3 linked regions of the Drosophila melanogaster genome follow. The protein of the gene in region 3 interacts with the protein of the main gene of each other region in a pairwise test. Each region holds a gene or a part of one and is shown on either strand. Other genes may lie near its edges.

The links.
Region 1: the proteins of Ir60a (region 3) and CG15022 interact in a two-hybrid assay, tested with the Drosophila melanogaster proteins (one large-scale study listed by BioGRID).
Region 2: the proteins of Ir60a (region 3) and CycT interact in a two-hybrid assay, tested with the Drosophila melanogaster proteins (one large-scale study listed by BioGRID).

Annotation. Positions count from the first base shown.
Region 1 is NT_037436.4:4,458,130-4,463,109, forward strand, and holds CG15022 (uncharacterized protein), read right to left. Parts: upstream 2,189-4,980; 5' UTR 2,119-2,188; coding exon 2,116-2,118; intron 2,054-2,115; coding exon 1,169-2,053; 3' UTR 1,064-1,168; downstream 1-1,063. Other genes in the region: CG15023 (uncharacterized protein), read right to left, coding at 2,617-3,123, 3,188-3,190; CG15024 (uncharacterized protein), read right to left, coding at 4,919-4,980.
Region 2 is NT_037436.4:17,550,929-17,560,560, reverse strand, and holds CycT (cyclin T), read left to right. Parts: upstream 1-2,772; 5' UTR 2,773-3,488; coding exon 3,489-4,065; intron 4,066-4,141; coding exon 4,142-4,187; exon of another isoform or gene 4,188-4,418; intron 4,419-4,729; exon of another isoform or gene 4,730-5,030; coding exon 5,031-5,626; intron 5,627-5,682; coding exon 5,683-7,757; 3' UTR 7,758-9,557; downstream 9,558-9,632. UniProt on the Drosophila melanogaster protein: Regulatory subunit of the cyclin-dependent kinase pair (CDK9/cyclin T) complex, also called positive transcription elongation factor B (P-TEFb), which is proposed to facilitate the transition from abortive to production elongation by phosphorylating the CTD (carboxy-terminal domain) of the large subunit of RNA polymerase II (RNAP II).
Region 3 is NT_033778.4:24,247,540-24,253,986, forward strand, and holds Ir60a (ionotropic receptor 60a), read right to left. Parts: upstream 3,765-6,447; coding exon 2,850-3,764; intron 2,752-2,849; coding exon 1,516-2,751; downstream 1-1,515. Other genes in the region: nord, read left to right, coding at 5,107-5,192, 5,266-5,515, 5,582-6,260, 6,328-6,447.

The sequences.
Region 1 (4,980 bases), on a different chromosome or scaffold from region 3:
CTTGGTGCGACGACGGCCTCTACCGAAGTGATACAGTTTCCGGCAAGTGCTTCTTTATTTATACAGTTAGAGAACCTGAACCTGAATCAGTGGTCGCTATAAAGCGATCGCGTCACGTTATTACCTCTGGCCAACGCCGACGCCGCGAGAGACGATCTGACTGCGATCCGTCTATATCCAAATGGCCCGGTTGTCAGCTAAGCGGCGTTTAGGGGTCTCGCCCCTTTGGCAGCCGGTATTGGGAATTGGCATTCAATTTTTATTAAATCTCTTAATTCGAAGTCATCTCGTTGCGTTGGCTTTTGTTTTTTTTTGGCCCGACCAGGGAGCTCTTTATGGCTGGGAGCCATAAACGTGTTGGGTTTTACGATCACCGCTGCGTTTGCCAAGTACTTAAAATAGTTTTTGGTTAGGCAATTATTGGGATAAATAGTTTATCGTACTTTTGGAGTTGTTAGACTATTTATTTCGTATGCATTAGTCATCATGTACCTAAGAAATGTATAACATTATTGATACATCACTATCAGGTTTTAATTAAAATGCTTAAAGACAAAATGAAAGACAAATCAAGTGTGCTATTAAAGTAACCTAATGTTTAAACATTTAAACTTTAACCCTTTTCAAAAGAGCATACTCAATTCGTTAGGGGCTTAATTATTTATTTCTGTCTAATCTTTTCATGGCACCTTTAAAAGACTTGCCCCATCTCTGGGCAACATTGAAAGAGGTCAACTGTCGTCCCATTGCCGATGGCTGCAATTGGCGATTAGCGATTTTGGTTCGGTTTGAACCTTTCTGTAACCGACACCGATCAATCCCTATAAATATATTCAAACCAAAACTCACATCATTTTTCATCCAAAAAGACAGTAATTATCGACACTGCAGGTGATGATCGAGCTGAACTAAAGCTAAAACCGAAGCCGTTTGGCTATTTCGGTTGATTGGCCGCAATTAGATTTGGAGGTCAGATTGAAATCCACATGGATCCCTTGGGGGCTGGGTGACAGCAATTTGGGTTTGATATCTTTGACCTTGAGGATGGGGAAAGAGTGCGAGTGGTGTAATACTCCATTTTATTTTTTGTTAAAAATGCTTTTAATGTGTACAGCTTAAAACTAGATGCAGTGCTTGTGGTTTGGTTTTTTTTCGGTGGTTGATTATCCTAATGCCTGAAACGGCGAAGTGGAGGCTTGTAGTGGTAACCAGGCTCGGCGTCGTGGATTGGACTTGGTGCAGGGCCCAAGGGCAGTGCATAGGATGGAATCGGTATGTGGAAATCTACCTCAGGCTGGGGTGGCAGATATTTTTGTTCGGGCTTAGGAGGCAGATACTTCTCGACGGGCTCGGAAGGTGGCAGGTACTTAGTCTCCGGCTCGGCAGGAGGAAGATACAGCTTCTTGGGAGCCACTGGTGGGGGTGGAGGTGGTGGTGGCAGACTGGGTGCAACCTTGGGTGGCAGATACCTTGCCACTGGAGCAGGTGGCAGATACTTCACCTCGGGCGTCGGAGGAGGAAGGTACTTGGACTCTGGCGGACTGGGAGGCAGATATGTGGGCTTGGGCGCCACAACTGGAGGTGGTGGTGGAGGAGGCAGGCTGGGAGCGACCTTGGGTGGCAGATACTTGGCCACCGGTTCGGGGGGCAGGTACTTCACTTCAGGCTTTGAGGGAGGCAGATAAGTTGCCTTGGGCGGTGGAGGTGGTGGCGGTGGCAGGGAAACCTTGGGCGGCAGGTACTTCTGGCGAGGTTTCTCTGGAGGTCCATAGCTATATCCGCTAGGGATATCGAACTTGGCCTCTTGATGATGATGATGGTGGTGATCCGGCTGATAGTGCAGATCAATGTGCAGATCATGATGATCGTGTGACGAGGGAGAATGGTGGTGGGAATGGACATCATAGTGGTGGTGATCATGATCGTGATCGTGATCATGGTGGTGATGGTGATCATGGCCGTGATCGTGGTAACCTCCTCCGTACAGGTGGGACACGTCTGCCCGAATACAGATGGCAAAGCCTGCCAGAGCCAAAAGGATCAGCATGGGTTTCTGTAAAATAACCAACCTCCTGTTAGGTCATCTTTATTAGAGAATATGCCGCTACTGTTTACCATTTCCTTTAAGAGATAATCCACCGATCGAGATGATGTTGCTGCCGTTTGATGACAGCAGGTAGTAATGTCAATAACGTCGATGGTCACCGCTTTTATACAAAGATCGCGCCTTCCTCGACCGGCTGGCTATTTGGTTTTCTTCACACTTTTCTTGGTTTTCATGAACTTGAGGTCGGCCAATTATCGGCGTGTGTTATCTCCCTCTACCCCAAAACAATTAATGCGATTTCGACCAAATTAGCTCTGCACAACAAAGCAGCTCATGAATATGCAGCGGATGCGACGAAATCCCAGACAATTGACGGTGATTGACTCGGCCATCTGTACCACTTTTGTCCCATCCCAATAAATATTTGGGAGATACCGATGCTAATGGGGTTAACAAAACAGCGTTTATTGAGATGGCTTTAACCTTATATAAACCTAAGCCTAGTGGAACGATTTAAAACAAAACTAATCCGGGGAAATCTTCCATGTTCAGTTCGATCGCGATTTTGCTCAGAAGGTGAACTCTTGGGCGGGCACATCGTAGTGGTAACCCGGTTCCGGTTGTGGTGGTGGGGGTGGAAGGTACGTGGGCACTGGCGTGGGTGCAGGTGTCGTTGTGGTTGTAGTGGTGGTGGTGGTAGTGGTACGCGGTGGTGGAGGTGGGGGAGGAAGGTAAGTGGGAGCAGGAGTGGGAGCGGGAGTGGTTGTCGTGGTAGTGGTAGTAGGTGGAGGGGGAGGAAGGTAGGTAGGAGCGGGAGTAGGAGCCGGAGTGGTTGTGGTGGTAGTTGTGGTTGTGGGCGGAGGAGGAGGTAGGTAAGTGGGTACTGGTTTGGGTGGCAGATAAGTCGGTGGTGGCGGTGGTGGCTCCGTCGTCGAGGTAATCACAAATGGTATCTCCGGCTTGGGGTAGTCATAGCCATAGCCATGCTCATGATGCTCCTCCAGGAGTTCCAGCGGCAAATGCGAAACATCACCGGCTGCAAAAGCCAGCAGACAGGTAGCCAAAATGAATAGCTTCTGAAATAGGAAAGAAATCGTGAAGTTCAGATTGCTTCTCATATCTACAACTGACCACACTCACCATCTCCTTTATGATATGTCTAACACCTTGAGCTCTTAAACCACAAATGATTGAGCGTTTGCATCCACGTCGGTTTATTTATAGTCAAAATTCTAAAACAGATCGATACTGTCCATGGCGCTCTAGAGGCCAATTATTATCATTTAAATCGATATAACACCGCTAGCCCCACGGCATTCTTTGTATCGGTAAATGTATCTGTATCTGTAGCGCTCTCCGCAGCCATGTTTATATGAATGATTAGCGCCACAATAGTGCGCCGAAGTTGACAGAGGAGCAGCGTCAACATCGCCAACTTTGTTTCGGAACTATTATGCCTATATGGGGCCCTACTGAGCCGTTTTTCATCAACGTCGTCACTTGGGTTTTCATTGTTACGGTGTTAAAGGTATGACCAAACTTCCGACGGAACCTGGGGCACAAAAGCTTAGCACACAGAAAAACAGTCATAAATTCATAAAAATTCTGAGCAGATTTTGAATCAATTTGAAATAAGTAATCAGCGAGTACTTGCATTCTGATATGGGTTGCTACATATTTTAAATGTTAATTAATGAAATTCATTCATACATGAAAGGTACATGCACTTAATGTTATTTATTTTAAGCTAGTCAAGCTAAATTTTCTCTCAGTGCATCTGAAGAGGTAGTTCCGTCGCTGGAAGCGTTGTAAGCGTGCTCTGCTGGCTGTCATAAATCATTTAGACTTCATTTATAATAATTATGGCTCGCGCTGCCTTTTGCAACTCAAGAAGTTTGAGTGGTCAGAGTTTCATGGACAGATGGACAATGAAGCTGTCTGCTGGACATGATCTTGCGGAAGCAATTCAGTTACAGATCAGTCGAGTTATATAGCAGAGGCGGAGAAGATGGTAAGGAGCTTAACGGCCACGGAGAACAAGGAAAATTAAGACTATTTTCAAACTAACATTTTTTTAATGGTGGTAGTCAGAAGATATCGAAATAGTTTTAGGAGAAGACCTATGTTTATAGTGAATGAAATTATGAACAAGTCTGGAAACATTTAATTTTATTCTTAAGGAATACTTAAATATTATTGTTTGAACAGTTTAGACACGGTGTTTACAAAACTAAAAAACTATTTTAAATAATGTCTGGATTATTTAGAACTCTCTATTGATTGGAGACCAGCCGCCTTAAGTTGACTAATTAGTTGGATTAGCGTCTTCGGCTACGATTGTATAAACAAACAGACGATACTGGTCCAGATTCAACTATCACTTTTATTTGACCGCATGCCAAAAAATCAATGGGTTGTTGAACTGCATAGTAGAGATCGAACTGATCGATTGTCAAGTGCCGGAATTGGATGGCGTGTGCTGAACCATCCTCGTTTCTGCTCGCCTTTGGCCAAAATGCGAGTAATTTATGCCGATTATGGAATTAATTGTCGTTTTTTATGGGCATTCATCTCAGCGTTGGCTAGGCCTCAGCAGTTTTGATCTATCGCAAATCTCTGCGAATTTCGTGATTCCTCAACCGGTTTGGATTAGAAATATTTGGTCGAGCAGAGACATTTTGTGCTTTTTATGAATACACTACTCTAAGCTGTGAATCTCGTTCTGAGCCACGTCCAAGGCAATGAGTTTTTGGAATAAGCCCTGTCCAAGGGCCTGAATTGTGAAAGGAACGCCGTTAGATTTCGATTTGATTTTATTGTTTATTATCTTTACGAAACTTTGGTACAAATTGGAATTAGTAAGGGTGGAATTTAGCTCTTAAAGCGCCGACTGGGCACCTGGTATTTGTATCCATGGATTTTCTTGGAGGCAG
Region 2 (9,632 bases), on a different chromosome or scaffold from region 3:
ACAGATCTGGACATTTAATCGAACCAAACCGAGATACTGACCCATAGTTTCAACAATACTGCAACCGCAATCCTCAATGCAATATACCGACAACTTCTACAACAATTTCCAAACACTGCCCAAAACGTGCAATCTCTTGAAAGGATACCTTGAATAGGAAAGAGAATAAAACCAACTCCTAGTTCTTTAATCTAATTCTTTAATAGTTGCGTTCTCTAAGTACCTTTATCTATTATTATTATTATTATGTGTACGTGAAGATGAAATCTACAATATATCATTTTGTTTATGATGATTGGTGATTGATGATGCAAATAAACAAAGTGAGTCTTGAGTTCAACTCTGTTCATTGTAAACAATTTTTTATGATTATTTTTTATTTTTTAAATAAAATTATTATTTCAATTTGTGCATGCGTTTTATTTACACATTCGCAAACCAAACACACCAAAAAAAAAACAAACCAATATAAAAACCGAATGAAATATAGAACGTAAGCAAAGATATGATACAAATATATGGAACCCGCTACAAATTTGGAATCTAGATATACCTCCCATGAAAAGTACATAATGTTGCATAAGTTACAATATATTCAAAGTCTATATAGGATAGTCGAGATTCGGATTGACGATATTTGAAGTCGAGATCACATATTTTAGATAAAGTCCAGTCGGTGTATTTTGTAGTTCTAAGACACCATTTCACGAGGTCTCAGTTTATGAGGTTTCCCCCAGATCATGGATTTATATGTATGTCTATTTATTGGCGTAGATCACCGCATCTACCATTATTACCTAGCGTAAATCAGTTATTAGTTGTTAGGGAATGAATATTTAAATGTTATAAGACCTTAGATATAAGCACACCCACAACAAGAGCAGCATCGAACCAGATATGCAAAAATCACGAGTCGAGTACAACGAAATCGGTAAACAAGAATCTGAGCCACAACCCGGATAATGCAGCTTTAAATCGAGATAGTACATTTAAATTTCAATCTCCTATTTCCCAGAGAGCTCTCCTTTCACTTCGATAGCCTAAATCAGTTGGAGACTCCAACCCGAAAGCATTTATACATGCTAAGCACGATAATTGTACATATACAACTTCTGGACCTCATGACTCCACTCGATTATAAACGTATTTTATATGTATACACCAATTATTTGTTAGATTGGATAACCCCGAATGGCTGGATAAGACCAACTAAATTATATGCAATAGAATATCGATGCCGTTGGGCAAGATTTCTATGCTAGGCTAAGGCTAAGACAAGATATCTTTCTATTGGTAACTCAAAAACGAAACGAACTATATAGCTTTTAAATGGAAACGTGCGATTATTCAAAGGTATTCTATGCCGCCTGAGAATAGTAGAGATATGGATTGGCCTAGATTTAGACGAATATGTTGAATGCATTAACATTAGATACGATTAGTTTTTGACTTACTAACCTAAGTTAAGTTTTTAGACTGTTTATTTCACTTTTTGTTCAATCTTTGTACATTTGACAGACACATTTTAAAAATGTCTGCGATGAGAAATCAGCTAAAGCCAGCCACAATATATATAATATATATATATATACTTTAATGCTTATGTAGTAAGGAAACGAACGTTGGATCGAAGTCATGGTATGTAGGTGAATTTTATGGTTAGAGGCAAGCGCAAGCGAACGGATTAGATTAATTTTTATAAGAATGCATTAAGAAAAACGAAGCAAGTAACAGTCACAAGCTAGCATAATTATTTACTGTTATGACGACATAAGAGTTTTAAGGTTTTTAGCTAAATTTTGTATATTTTAATCTACAAACTATAAATATATATTATCTGTTTTATAAATAACAATAAAAAATTCATATGTGTTTTTATGACAGATTTCAAATGGGTAGAGCATCGCTCTCAAAATGTATAGCCATTTTGAGCTGTACAGGAATTCGGAATGTCTTTTTTACTACTAGTATTATTTCTTATGATTCGGTCGGTTATGGCTTATACGCATAGACCAATAACTCTACATATCCCCACCCACAGAAAGAAGTCACAAAATCTGGGAGGCCAATTACAGGTCCAAAACGTTAGATTAGTCGGTCACCATTAAATCGATTGTGGCACGAGCTGTGTGACATATTGCGTCCTCTTTTTGGAACCACAGGTCCTGGACATCATGGTTGTTCGATTCAGGAATGAAAATGTTGGTAACAATAGCCCTATACCGATCGTCATTTACTGTAACGTACTGGCCATCGTCGGCTTTGAAGAAGTACGGACCAATGATTCCACCAGCCCATAAAGTTTTTCTGGATGTAACGGTGTTTGAGGATTGGCTTCAACCGAAGTGCTGGTTGTCCGACTAGGTATATAAACATATACATAACAACATTTGGATATTTTGATAAAAAAAAGTCATGCGATTAAATGAAGGTGCTCAAAGTACATATATAATATGTCCATATACATATAATAAGATATATTTAAGATGGGACTGTTCAAACATATTAAGTACAAATTCGATTCCCCCGGAATATACGTTATTTTTTAATTGAATAAGAAGGGAAAAAATGTTGACATTGTGATATTTCTACATGTGTTAGCGAAATGTAAAGTTTAAGGTAAGTTACTTAAAAATGTATTTACATTTATTTGAATATCTACCTTACGATTATTAATCGATAACATAAACAGTAGAATCAATGTTGCCATATTTTAAAAATAATATCGATAATGCGAAATAAACATCGGTTTGGAAAGCCTTATCGATCTGGCAGCCCTGCCGACGGCCATACTTGAAAATACATTTTTTTCTGCAAAGTTTGTCATTGTCACTGTGTGAATGGAATCTGTGATGTGTTGTGGAATTAAAAACGTCGAGTAAACGACCCGTAATGGTTAAAGTGCCCGGCGAAAGCAGTGCGAATAACTATGAATTGATACGAAAGTTGCATAACACGTCGCCTGGTGTCGCGGTTAGTGTGTTTTTCGTCTCGTTTCGTTTCCGCCGCAGTCGCAGTTTCCAGAAAACCTCACCACACCATACCATCTCCACCACGCACACACACACACAAACAAACACGCAGAGACGCGGCGGCGGAAAAAGTGTGCGGACCGCGGATTTAACCCCTCGTTCCAAACCCAAATTGGAGTCTCCCAAAAACAGCGAAATATCGAGTGTGGCTTAGCCGATGTGCCGTGCGATCCCCACTGCCCCTTCCGTACCGCTGCCACCCCCGCCACAGCAGCAACGCACACGGATACGGACACAGACACCAATACCAGCGCACTCAAGCACGGCCGACAAAGAAAGAGCGCTCTCCCTTCCTCTTCGTACAGTTAGTTCCTACAGCTGAATCAGCCAAAAGGGAATTACTAGGTCCATTCCGAGGCGCAGTTTGCATGTGAAACGGAGGTCCCCGCATAACCACGCGGAACCCGAAATCCCAGATCCCCATCTCCGCTGCACGGATAAAGGAAACATACAACCATGAGTCTCCTAGCCACGCCAATGCCCCAGGCGGCCACCGCCTCATCTTCTTCATCCGCCTCCGCGGCCGCCTCGGCCAGCGGGATTCCAATCACCGCCAACAACAACCTGCCTTTCGAGAAGGACAAGATCTGGTACTTCAGCAACGATCAGCTGGCCAATTCGCCAAGCAGAAGATGCGGCATCAAGGGCGACGATGAGCTGCAGTACCGCCAGATGACCGCCTATCTGATACAGGAAATGGGTCAGCGTCTGCAGGTGTCCCAACTGTGCATCAACACGGCCATTGTGTACATGCATCGGTTCTACGCCTTTCACTCCTTCACCCACTTTCATCGCAACTCCATGGCGTCGGCGAGCCTCTTCTTGGCCGCCAAGGTAGAAGAGCAACCGCGGAAGCTGGAGCATGTTATTCGGGCCGCCAACAAGTGCCTGCCGCCGACCACCGAGCAGAATTACGCCGAACTCGCCCAGGAGCTTGTGTTCAACGAGAACGTGCTCCTGCAGACGCTGGGCTTCGATGTGGCCATCGATCATCCGCACACGCATGTGGTGCGCACCTGCCAGCTGGTCAAAGGTATGCACCCACCATCCGACCCAAGCCATGTCCCCTTCACATGTCAGATGGTACTGATTACTGTGGTATATTTTAGCATGCAAGGATCTGGCGCAGACATCGTACTTCTTGGCCTCGAACAGGTATGGCTAGCAATGCGCTACTCTATGGTGTAATCCCTCCTAGAGATCGCCCCCAACGCAAATACGGCTGTGGTATAAGCAATGTGTGTGTGTGTGCGGGTGTGGTGTTGGCCCAATCCTCCCCAGAAAGTGGTCAGGCTGTAGAGAGTTCGATCCCTGACTTTTTGTGGCTAAAATCTTTGGGCAGTTCTTTTACCTGCTTAATTCCTCGCTTATAGCTAACAAACCCAGGTATGTGAGTCGAAACAAAAAAAAAAAGTGACGACCCCAAGTCACAAATCGAACAAGAACACGCGGTCCCTAATCGCAGCAGGACGTCTGTACAAATATCGCATCTTAGCAAAAAGGCAGTATTTTCCGTGTCCCTCGCGGTAATTATCCTCAGTTGCCTGCAATAACATTGTAATTTGTGTCGGAAAATCCGCCAAATGTCAAGAATAAGACTAATTCCTAGAAAGAGTCGTTAATTCCTAGAAAAAGATATTTGAAGAATTGTAATGATAACCATTGTAATCCTTTGGCATACTAAAACATCTGGAAAAAAGATAAATTCAGTTTGGCATACCTGCCTACCTAAAACATAGTCAAAATTCTGATTACATGAGGAGAGCTCATTGGGAAAATTTGCGCATTTCGAAATATCGGCAAACGTTTTAGAATAATTCTTTTAAGTTTAAGATCCCCAAGAAATAAAAGAGACTCGCTAAGAACATGCTAAGAACTAAAGACGTAATCTGTATTATAAGTGATGAAATCCCCCTGCACACACTCACCGAACTACATTTATATGTGATATTCTTGCAAAAGATTTCCCACTAAATTGACTTAACCATCCTGGCACAGCCTGCATCTGACCTCGATGTGCCTCCAATATCGCCCCACGGTCGTAGCCTGTTTCTGCATTTACCTAGCCTGCAAGTGGTCCCGATGGGAGATCCCCCAGTCGACCGAGGGCAAACACTGGTTCTACTATGTGGACAAGACGGTCTCGCTGGATTTGCTAAAGCAGCTGACAGATGAGTTCATCGCTATCTATGAGAAGAGCCCGGCCCGTCTGAAGTCTAAGCTTAACTCGATCAAGGCGATCGCCCAGGGAGCCAGCAATCGGACAGCTAACAGCAAGGACAAACCAAAGGAGGACTGGAAGATCACCGAGATGATGAAGGGCTACCACTCAAACATCACGACACCACCAGAGCTGTTAAACGGCAACGACAGCCGGGATCGGGACCGAGATCGTGAACGGGAGAGAGAGCGGGAACGGGATCCGTCGTCACTACTGCCGCCACCGGCTATGGTGCCGCAGCAAAGACGACAGGATGGTGGCCATCAGCGCTCGTCCTCAGTGAGCGGAGTGCCAGGCAGCAGCTCTTCGTCGTCTTCCTCCAGTCACAAGATGCCAAATTACCCTGGTGGCATGCCGCCCGACGCTCATACGGGTAAGTATTTCAACAACTGCAAAAAGAATCACATTTTTAACATCTTCGTATTGAAGATCACAAGTCAAAGCAGCCGGGCTATAACAATCGAATGCCCTCAAGTCACCAGCGTAGTAGTAGCAGTGGACTCGGTTCCTCGGGAAGTGGCAGCCAGCGCAGCAGCTCATCCTCGTCGTCTTCAAGCCAGCAGCCTGGCCGACCGTCTATGCCCGTGGACTATCACAAATCCTCTCGCGGCATGCCGCCGGTAGGCGTGGGCATGCCACCTCACGGCAGCCACAAGATGACTTCGGGCTCCAAGCCCCAGCAGCCGCAGCAGCAGCCGGTCCCACATCCATCCGCCTCTAATTCCTCTGCATCGGGCATGTCCTCCAAGGATAAATCCCAGAGCAACAAAATGTATCCGAACGCACCGCCGCCATACAGTAATAGTGCCCCTCAAAACCCGCTGATGTCGCGTGGTGGATATCCAGGCGCTAGCAATGGATCCCAGCCCCCGCCTCCCGCCGGATACGGCGGCCATCGCAGCAAATCCGGCTCCACCGTCCATGGCATGCCGCCTTTCGAGCAGCAATTGCCCTATTCCCAGAGCCAGAGCTACGGCCACATGCAGCAGCAGCCAGTGCCTCAGTCTCAGCAGCAACAGATGCCTCCGGAGGCATCCCAGCACTCGTTGCAGTCCAAGAACTCGCTCTTCAGTCCAGAGTGGCCAGACATTAAAAAGGAGCCCATGTCGCAGTCGCAACCACAGCCTTTTAACGGTTTGCTACCCCCTCCTGCGCCTCCCGGCCACGATTACAAGCTAAATAGCCATCCGCGCGACAAAGAAAGTCCCAAGAAAGAGCGACTAACGCCAACCAAAAAGGATAAGCACCGTCCTGTCATGCCCCCAGTGGGCAGTGGGAACAGTTCCTCCGGCTCGGGATCATCAAAGCCGATGCTACCGCCTCACAAGAAGCAGATACCCCATGGCGGGGACCTGTTGACCAATCCTGGAGAGAGTGGAAGCCTAAAACGGCCCAACGAGATCTCGGGAAGTCAGTATGGACTAAATAAGCTGGATGAAATAGATAACAGTAATATGCCTCGAGAAAAGCTTCGCAAGCTGGACACTACAACTGGACTACCAACTTATCCGAATTATGAGGAGAAACACACGCCTCTGAATATGTCCAACGGAATCGAGACAACGCCGGATCTGGTGCGCAGTTTGCTAAAGGAGAGTCTGTGTCCATCGAACGCTTCGCTCCTGAAACCGGATGCCTTGACTATGCCTGGCCTGAAACCACCGGCCGAACTGCTTGAGCCCATGCCCGCACCAGCGACAATCAAGAAAGAACAGGGAATAACTCCGATGACCAGTTTGGCTAGTGGGCCCGCACCCATGGATTTGGAAGTACCCACTAAACAGGCCGGAGAGATTAAGGAGGAAAGCAGCAGCAAGTCCGAAAAGAAAAAGAAGAAGGATAAACACAAACACAAGGAGAAGGACAAGTCCAAGGACAAGACGGAAAAGGAGGAGCGTAAGAAGCACAAGAAGGACAAGCAGAAGGATCGTAGCGGCAGCGGTGGCAGCAAGGACAGTTCTCTTCCCAATGAGCCTCTGAAGATGGTTATCAAGAATCCCAACGGCAGCCTGCAGGCCGGTGCGTCAGCTCCCATTAAACTTAAGATCAGCAAAAATAAGGTTGAACCCAATAACTACTCTGCAGCGGCGGGTCTGCCTGGCGCAATCGGATATGGCTTGCCTCCAACTACGGCTACCACCACATCCGCTTCGATCGGAGCAGCTGCTCCTGTTCTGCCTCCTTATGGTGCCGGCGGTGGTGGCTACAGCTCATCGGGCGGCAGCAGTTCCGGTGGCAGCAGCAAGAAAAAGCACAGCGATCGTGACCGCGACAAGGAGAGCAAAAAGAATAAGAGCCAAGACTACGCGAAGTACAATGGCGCTGGTGGCGGCATCTTTAATCCCCTTGGCGGTGCTGGCGCCGCACCCAATATGTCTGGAGGAATGGGCGCCCCCATGTCTACTGCTGTACCACCATCCATGCTGTTGGCGCCCACCGGTGCAGTACCACCCTCTGCCGCTGGGCTGGCACCGCCTCCCATGCCCGTCTACAACAAGAAGTAGTGGTAGCGGTCAGAGGGTTATTCTTAAGTCGTACGTTTTGATATATGTATAGAACCTCAGTAAGTCCGATTGTAGTATAGTTGTTAGGATTGTTAGTGAGATGCATTATTGATTTTAGTTAAGCACATAGATAAAACTCCAAATTGGAAGTGAAACCGGATGCGCAGATCGAAGAAGAGTGGAAGTAGATGTCGCGATGGGGCTGGACGTAAAAGCAGTACTCAAATCGCGAAAACTTTTGTACAGCATTAATTAATTTATAACTATAATAAATAGCATACATATAAGCCCACATACATAAAAATACGGAATAGTTTTAAGCGAATTGTTGGCAAACGGAATCAGAGACCCAAGCAGAAAATTCACAGAGAGCAGCAATGGCCGTCTAGCGTTTAAGTTAGCAAATCAAATACCCGTTTCACACACTCTAACCTGTATATAGCCACTCTCACAAACACACAATCAAGAGATATATAGTACAGACTTCCGCTTAGCAAATATACTAAATACGGCCCCAACTAAATGCAAGCCAGAGAGATAGAAAGAGTAAGAACTTCAAAATAATCCCCACAGAGGAGCATATAGTTGTGGCAGAGGATAGGAGAGTAAATGGAAAGCCAGCGCTTTGATTCAAAATTGAAGACGCCAAACCACATAATGAATTATTTAATTAATACATAGTTGCTAATCCGAAAATGAATGAAGATGTTTATTTTTAGTTAGCAAAGTTTTCCCTTCCTTTCTGAACGATTGCCCGATTACTAACCGTGTTTCAATATAGTTTTCGACACCTAGCAATATATACAGTAGTGTATTTACACTTTTCAATGAAGATAAGTAAAAAGATCGGATTGTTTCAGCGGATGATATTATGTTTCAAGATCGCCTGGAACGTTGACGTAGCTTTCATTTGTTTTAATTTATTTTTTAAATAGCATTACAAAACAAATTACCACAACAAAAAAAAAACCAAAACAAAAACAAATAATAAAGTCCCAAAACAAAAACGGAATATGCAAACAAAAAAGAAACCCAAAACTAAATTTTGGATAAAACAAAAGTTGTTGTGCAAGAAAACAAAAAGTTTTAAAATTATGTAAATGCAAGCGAAAACGTTGCAAGCAAACTAAGCTAAACGAACGAAAAACTAACAGAAGGCTAAACGAGGAGAAACAAAAGTTAGGCATATAGAAATCTAGGCATGATCTATATATTCGAGGCGAAAATGAGAATGAAATGAAATTTTATGTAATTTTCGACTAAGGCAAAGGTTAAGCGAACGTTGCGCGTTTTTCAAAACTATTCGTACTCGTATATTCGTATTCGATTTCTCTACTACTGCATTAAGCTGCAAGCATATATAGCTCTAAACACACCACACATCCATTCACACACCATCCATCCCATGCAGTCGAGAAACGTATTCTTTAAGTTGGGAACCCGAGAAACCCGTTTTTATAATCGATCGAAAGAATGCGCAATTTGCGTCTAAGATTTGGATTTCCCTTTATATACTTATTCTTGGCCCCTTTTACCACACTCCCCGCCCACGCCCATCCCCACCCCTCGCCCCTCCTAACTTAAGTTTTTGTACATACTTGGAAAGCAAATGGAAAACCCGCCGCTCGGGTGGCGGGCAAGTGTCGGGTTTCATTGGGATTGTTTGGTTGTGCGTTCGAATATGAATTCACTCGTCACTTGCACGCCCCCACGAGGGCACAAATAAAAATCTTCAAAACCCCGCAAAATTCTAAACAAAAAACTATAAAAATGCAAAAAATAAACAACAAAAAAATCAGGAAAATTAAATGATATGTGTTTTTCTTGCGGTGCTTGGGGGAACTTCTTGTTCAACTTTCTGAGCGAAACTTCAGA
Region 3 (6,447 bases):
GGTTGGGTCTGCGGAATGGGAATGGGAATCCGAGTAGAAATCGGAATCGGAATGGGAATCAGCATCAGCATCAGCATCAACATCAGAATCAAAATCAGAATCCGCAGAGAGACAACCAAGTCCAAGCCAAAGCGAACCGAACAGACAGAGGGGCGTCGCTTCCAGTCGGACGACTCATCACCATAGTTCAATAGTCTAAAATTTCCCCAAAACTAGAGGAAAATGCATGGCAATCGGGGAAGGGGAAGGGAAAGCCATTTTCGAATTACGGACACTAAGTGCTCACTGTGCCCATTTCGGTGTGAGTAATTGAGTGCGTCTTTGTTTCGCATTGTTTGCGTCGTGAATCACTCACAGAATCAGTATCGGAATAATAGAGATATCAAATAATTGTTATGTTCTTGGCCGACAACAGGATCACGAGTGAAACGGGAGACAAATGGGCTAGTGGGCGAACTTCACTTCCACTTGGCTTTCCCGTGCCGGCAGATGATTACTCATGCGGCACTCAATGTCGGCCACAAGATCCATTAATGAAACAGATGATGAATTGTCTCAACAAGTTGCCATGGGAATTTTCCAAGGCGCCATCTGATTTATGACTCCAAATATCTAGTATCTGGCGGATTCCTTTTGAATTCTGAAATCTATATGAATTATAGATTATGTAGATCCCATTAAACTGGTCATTCGTTATTGTTTTGAAATCGTACTGCGTACCTTCTTCAATTTTATTCATTACTTTTTATTGATTTCATTCGAATGGTTTACGCTTCATCAACCTAGTTTACTACCTATTCAATGGGAATTGCCAAGAATCAACGAATTTATTTCCCGTAACTCACATAATTCCGCAAAAGTTGTCCCTGCTCCGTGGCGCTACTTCCAATTCCATTTGGGATATTTTCCAACTGAAACTTGCGCCATCTGATATCCGAGCGATATTTGTTTGGCTGCCCTGCAGTAACTTCCTTTGCAATCAGCGAATGCGCCACTTATAGGGATATCTGCTTAACTCGTTCTTTATCTCTGTTTACGCCCAGAGTTTTCCGGCAGCAGAGCAGCTGGGAAAGCTGAGGCTGATTGTCAATTTGCGGAAAGCGGGGCGAGGAGCTCGTCCACTGCGCACTGCCCTGCCCGCCTCCACTTCCATTCCCGATCCCAATCCCAATGCCAATCCCAGAGGCACGGGCACAGACTCCCCGCCGTTGTTGTTTGCAAAAATAGAATTTTGTCTCTGATTTTAAGTATTTCGCGTGAAAAGTAACAGAAGCGACCCGAACGGCACGGGCCAGACCAACCACACTATACTATACTACACTATGCCATACTATATAGACTATAGACCAGACAAGCGCCCCAGACATCGCAGGAGGATGGAGGATGGGGGATGAAGGACGGGGGGACGGGCTTGGGGATTGCCAGTCAGAGTCAGAGTCAGTGTCTCTCAATTGCAAATTTATGTGAATTGAGTCAATTTTATCGCAGCCATCTAGGGAGTTAGTTTGGGTTAGTTTACTTTTGACTTGTTTGTCCCTGGAAAACTTTGCGTCGTTTGACTGGCGTAAATCGAACGACTGGAGCCACTTGAACTTGTCGCTGCCAGCGGTTATCCTTTTCTGGCTTCCTCCTCCTCCTCCTCCTCCTCCTCTTGTCACTCCTCCTGTCCTGCTGCTCGCTCGTGCTGACCAGCTGGGTTCGCCATCTGTGGATTATTAGCTCGCCAATGAACGTGAGGGCGGCCCAGCAGCTGCCCACCACCAGGATGAAGAAGGGTCCCTTCAGGTGCTCCGTGGTCAGGACGATAGCCGTTTCCGGGAACTGGGGGCGCATCTTGTTGATCCTGTTGAGGTACGTGTTGTTGTACCTAAAGTCCGCGTCGATCTTCTGAAAAATGCCCACGTCGCGCATGAGGCGGATGATGCTGTTCATCTCGAAGAGAAAGGGGAATCCCGCCTTCATGATCATCTGCACCGGACTGCTGAAAACGTTGTTGGGAAAGGCGTATATGACGTCCGCCAGGGGACTCTGCATCGTGTACATCCGGTTGCTCAGGATGCACCGCTGGCCCCACTTCACCGCCTCCAGGTTCTTCGATTGCGGAATGAACTCCGGCGAAATGTTGTATCCGTTAAAGATCCACATGTCGTCGTCATTCTCGAACCAGTCGCGACTCTCCTCGTGGCCGCCAAACGGAATACCCGCGGCCACCACTTCCGTCAGCTCGTCCAGCTGGTGAAGGTAGCCGGGATCCTGGAAGGTGGCTATCATCTTGGACGTGTATGTAGCCACCACGTTCAGGCCATACAAAGTCAGGGCCATGAAGAACAGCCTCGTCGTCTCGCAAATGGGTCGTTCCTGGACGGCTATCGATATGGTGACGGCCAGGGCATTAATGGCCGTAAGACTCAACTGTTGGTAATACTTCGGCTCCGGAAGAATCATAACCAGGGTGAACCAGAACAGCCAGCTGATTATTAGAATCAGGATGAATCCAATCCAGGTGTAGGCTTCGAAAATACCCACCAACGCCTGCCAGGCGGGTCTTCTGTCGGCCATTTTTATGTACCACGTGTGCGCATCCTGCAGATAGGTATCGGATCCCCAAAAATGGTCCGCCACCTCGTTGTCCGGATAATAGCCGCCGAAGACAAAGTCGCACTCGTTGTTCTGGACTTTCCCCAGTAATCCAGTCCAGTTAGCTGGGCCATCCATTTCACCACGTGACTCCAGGCTGCAGGTTTGGTTTACCTTACCAGTGGAAAATAGGATAGTTGTTAGCTTAGCACAATAAGCAGGACTTTTGCAAGCCAAGACGATCTTGAAGTATGAAAGTGTTAAATACTCACATCGAATTTCAGTCGATTTTTCATGAACCCCAGGATCCTCATCTCTAGTCCCAGGATACAGTCGGCCTCCACAAAGGGAGCAGAGATGGAGGAACAGGCAAAAAAGGTGCAGTTCCTGGGACTGAATCCTGATACGTAGTCCTGCATGGAGGCCTTAACGACAGCATTATTGGGGTAAAGTTTGCCATCGTGGCACTGGCCCACGCTCTGGACATTCAGAATCCTGCAGTTTACATTGCTGTAGTAATCATTGACCAGCAGATTGTAGTTCATGGTGGAGTTGGCATAGAGAAGAGCAACTCGGTGCACGTAAAACATTTCCATGAGGTCCTTGAAAATATTGGAGGCTACGCCAAGCGGTCGATTCCGACAAGTCGCATTATGAAAGAGCACCAGAAAACGCGCTCCTGGATTCCAGGATCGCATTTCGACAATTTTTTTCTTCATTAGCTCTTTTAATCGATCCACCGAGTCCACCACTATCACATAATTGTCCGCTAGGATCAGCTCTCCCTTGTCTTCGGTCCCATTCGTGATGTTGTAATCACTGGCCACGCGCATTTGGAAGAGTTCCTCCCTGTCCGGCGGCCCTGGATTCGTGACTGCTTCGTTGATCAGTTTGCTGAATCCTTCCTGGATCTGATCCGCCGGACTGGACAGATGAAAGGCGTGCACCAGCATCAAGTTATAGGCTCTGGTGAAGCGCTCCTTCGGGTTGCGAAAGAAGAAGATTTGGGCGAAGCTATCGAGGCAGCCCACTCCAGCCTTCCACACATCGGGACCCAAGTCCTTTTCGGGCAGCATGAAGATGACCGTGTTGGCCGTCTCATTCGAAAGATTCACTATCCCCTGGCACAGGTTTAAAATCTGCCCCAGAAAGATGATGATGATGAGACCCGGATTATTACACCACATTATTGCTTCTGTCACGTCGGACAATTGCGAATTAACTGCGGCTGGTGTGAGTTTCCGTGGGAAGGTGATGTGACTGATGTCCTACATTTGATTGCTTGGGTATATCGGTTTGGGGTCTGGAACAGTATTAACACTACACAGTGCCTCTGACTGATCCATCGCAAATCGCTGTAATATGATAATCCGTCCATTAAACAACCACTGCTGGCTTGTAAAAGTGCATTAAGTCATTCTGGAGTTTCGCGTCCGGAAGCGCATTCAACTTTCGCCTTTGGCCGTTGTTTGCCTTGTATAATTGACTGCTGTCAGCGTGCCGACAACGAGGATGCCCCCAGCAACAATAATAACAACAGCAGAAAACAACAAACAATCGCCATTGCAACATGCAAGGCTTAAATTAAAGCAAATATTTGCTCAGTCGCAGCGGCGCCACCGCCAACAATGGTCGAAATGCATTAAAACACTCCATCAATCCGAACCTTTTGGCAGGGCGGCCAAAAATACGACGGACTGCATGGTATAATGGCTATATGGCTATGTGGCGCACCAACTTCTGTTCGCTCGTCCGGATTGCGGGGGATGATGACGAGGAGGATGGCCCATGGCGTTGGCCGGAAGTAGCCGGTCATAAAAATAAAACTCGAGATGGCCGACCATCTCGCCAAGTCAATGAGTCATTTGCTGCAATGGAATGGCCATCCTGTCCTGCCCCTTTGGAAACTGCATCCTTGCCAGCTCGAAGCTCCCTGTTTCCCTGTGTCCATGTGGGTGTATCGGCGAGCTCATTTGTCTTAGCAGTTTGTCATTAGAAAAATTGCTCGTAAATTTCGCATTTAATTACAATACAAGAGCCAGCAAATTCAGCAAAGGGCCAGTGCCCAGGGGACTTGAGCGCAATCTTTGGCTGCAACAAAGTTGCAGCGGCATCAGCGAAGATGGATAAACAAAGTTGGCGAAAGGACAAGGATAGCCGAAGAGGGTATACCCTTTCGGATGCCCCGTAATTAAGCCAACTTGTATACCAAAGGTGATTTAAAAGTATGCAGTGAGAGATACAAAATGAGATTCTTTTTGACACCATTGTTATTTCATTAGTTAGTTAGTTAGTTATTGTTAAGTTAAGTTATAAGTTATAAGTTACGACTTATCTAACCAAGCTGATCCTTTAGTCAGGGAGGGTATGGCCAAAAGCCGCTGACTCATTTGGTTCAGTTCGGCTCAGACAGGCGGCAAAACAAATTGCGTGTGATAATTTAGTGTCATCATTTTTGACAAAGGGCGTTAACAGCTCACTTACTCCGCCCCTCGAAGAGCCGCCTTCATCTCGTTCTCCGTCTTCCAGATTTGTGCTGAACCTGAACGACTCGACGCCGCTGACGATTCGCTTTTCGGCGCCCGTGGGCCGCAAGATGTACTACAATCAGACAGGTAAGTCCGCCCCTTTGAGGAGCCGCATACCGCCACCAACCGCCACTAACCCGCCACCCAACCGCCTCTGCAGGAAACCCCCTTCGGCCGGCGGCAGTGGCACCTGGGCCAGGTGTGGCTGTGGGCAGTCTGGTGCTGCCCTGCGCCCTGCGTGGCCAGTACGACCTCTTCGTCCTCGCCCGCCACTCGGGAGCCCTCAAGGTGGACGCCCTGGCAGAGCATCCCCAGCACGACTGGCCCCTCCTCAACGCCACGCACCGAATCGCCATTCGCACCCAGAATCGCGTGCGGAAGCGCGAGATGATCGTCAAGTGGGAAAGGAGGTGAGATCTAGATGATTTTATTACACGGATATACTTATAACTTATGATTATTCAAAATCGTTTCAGCAAGTTTGATTTCCATGTCATGCACTATTGCCTGGTGATTCAGAGACTCTCCATGGACACGCCGCGGATGATCTTCACCAACTTCTGCCAGGCGGTGTCCGCCTACACGGACCAGCAGCCCATGACTCCCAGTTGCGCCGCAGGCGGTCCCTTGGAAGGGATTTGGGGTGCTCCACCCCAGCGGGAAAGGAGACTTAATCCTAGGCAGAACGTTCACATCGTGTGCACGGGGAAGAGGCGCCAACAGCTGCTGCGACGCCTTCTTCCGAGGAGCAGTTACCATCTGGACCTGTTCGGAATCCACCAGGGTAGACAGAACCTCACCCTGCGACTGGCCAGCAGCCAGGTGAACTTTAACCGCACCCAACCTCTGGCCCTGAAGCAGCAGGCTCTGATGCAACTCAAGATCGGTGGACAGCACGGGAAGCAGGTGTACAGCTTCAAGGTTCCGCAGACGACTCGCCAGCTGGGGGAGCCGTTCATGAGGCACCTTTTGATCCCTTGCTCGGGCAGCGAAATCCGGGTGAAGCTGCTACGGCAACGCAGCGAGGTGGGGAAAACGGAGGCCTTCTATAGTCCAACGTACATTCGGCAGAAGGGAGTCCTACCAGGGGAGCGCTATCTCATGCGGTTCGAGCCCAGCAACGATGACGAGGCGTTGCGAGCTCAGAAGGTCATGGTAGGGAGATAATCAGTCCGCGGACTATGTGGCTTGGCCCAAAGTAATGTATACCCCTATTTAACAGGTGGCCCTGAGCAGCGAGGCTCTGTTCCGGGATTTGCCCGAGCTGCCGCAGAACACGACAGTCTTCAATGTGCGAACGCGGTGCAGCAGAGCCACCATTGCATGGAATGGCTCACCGGAT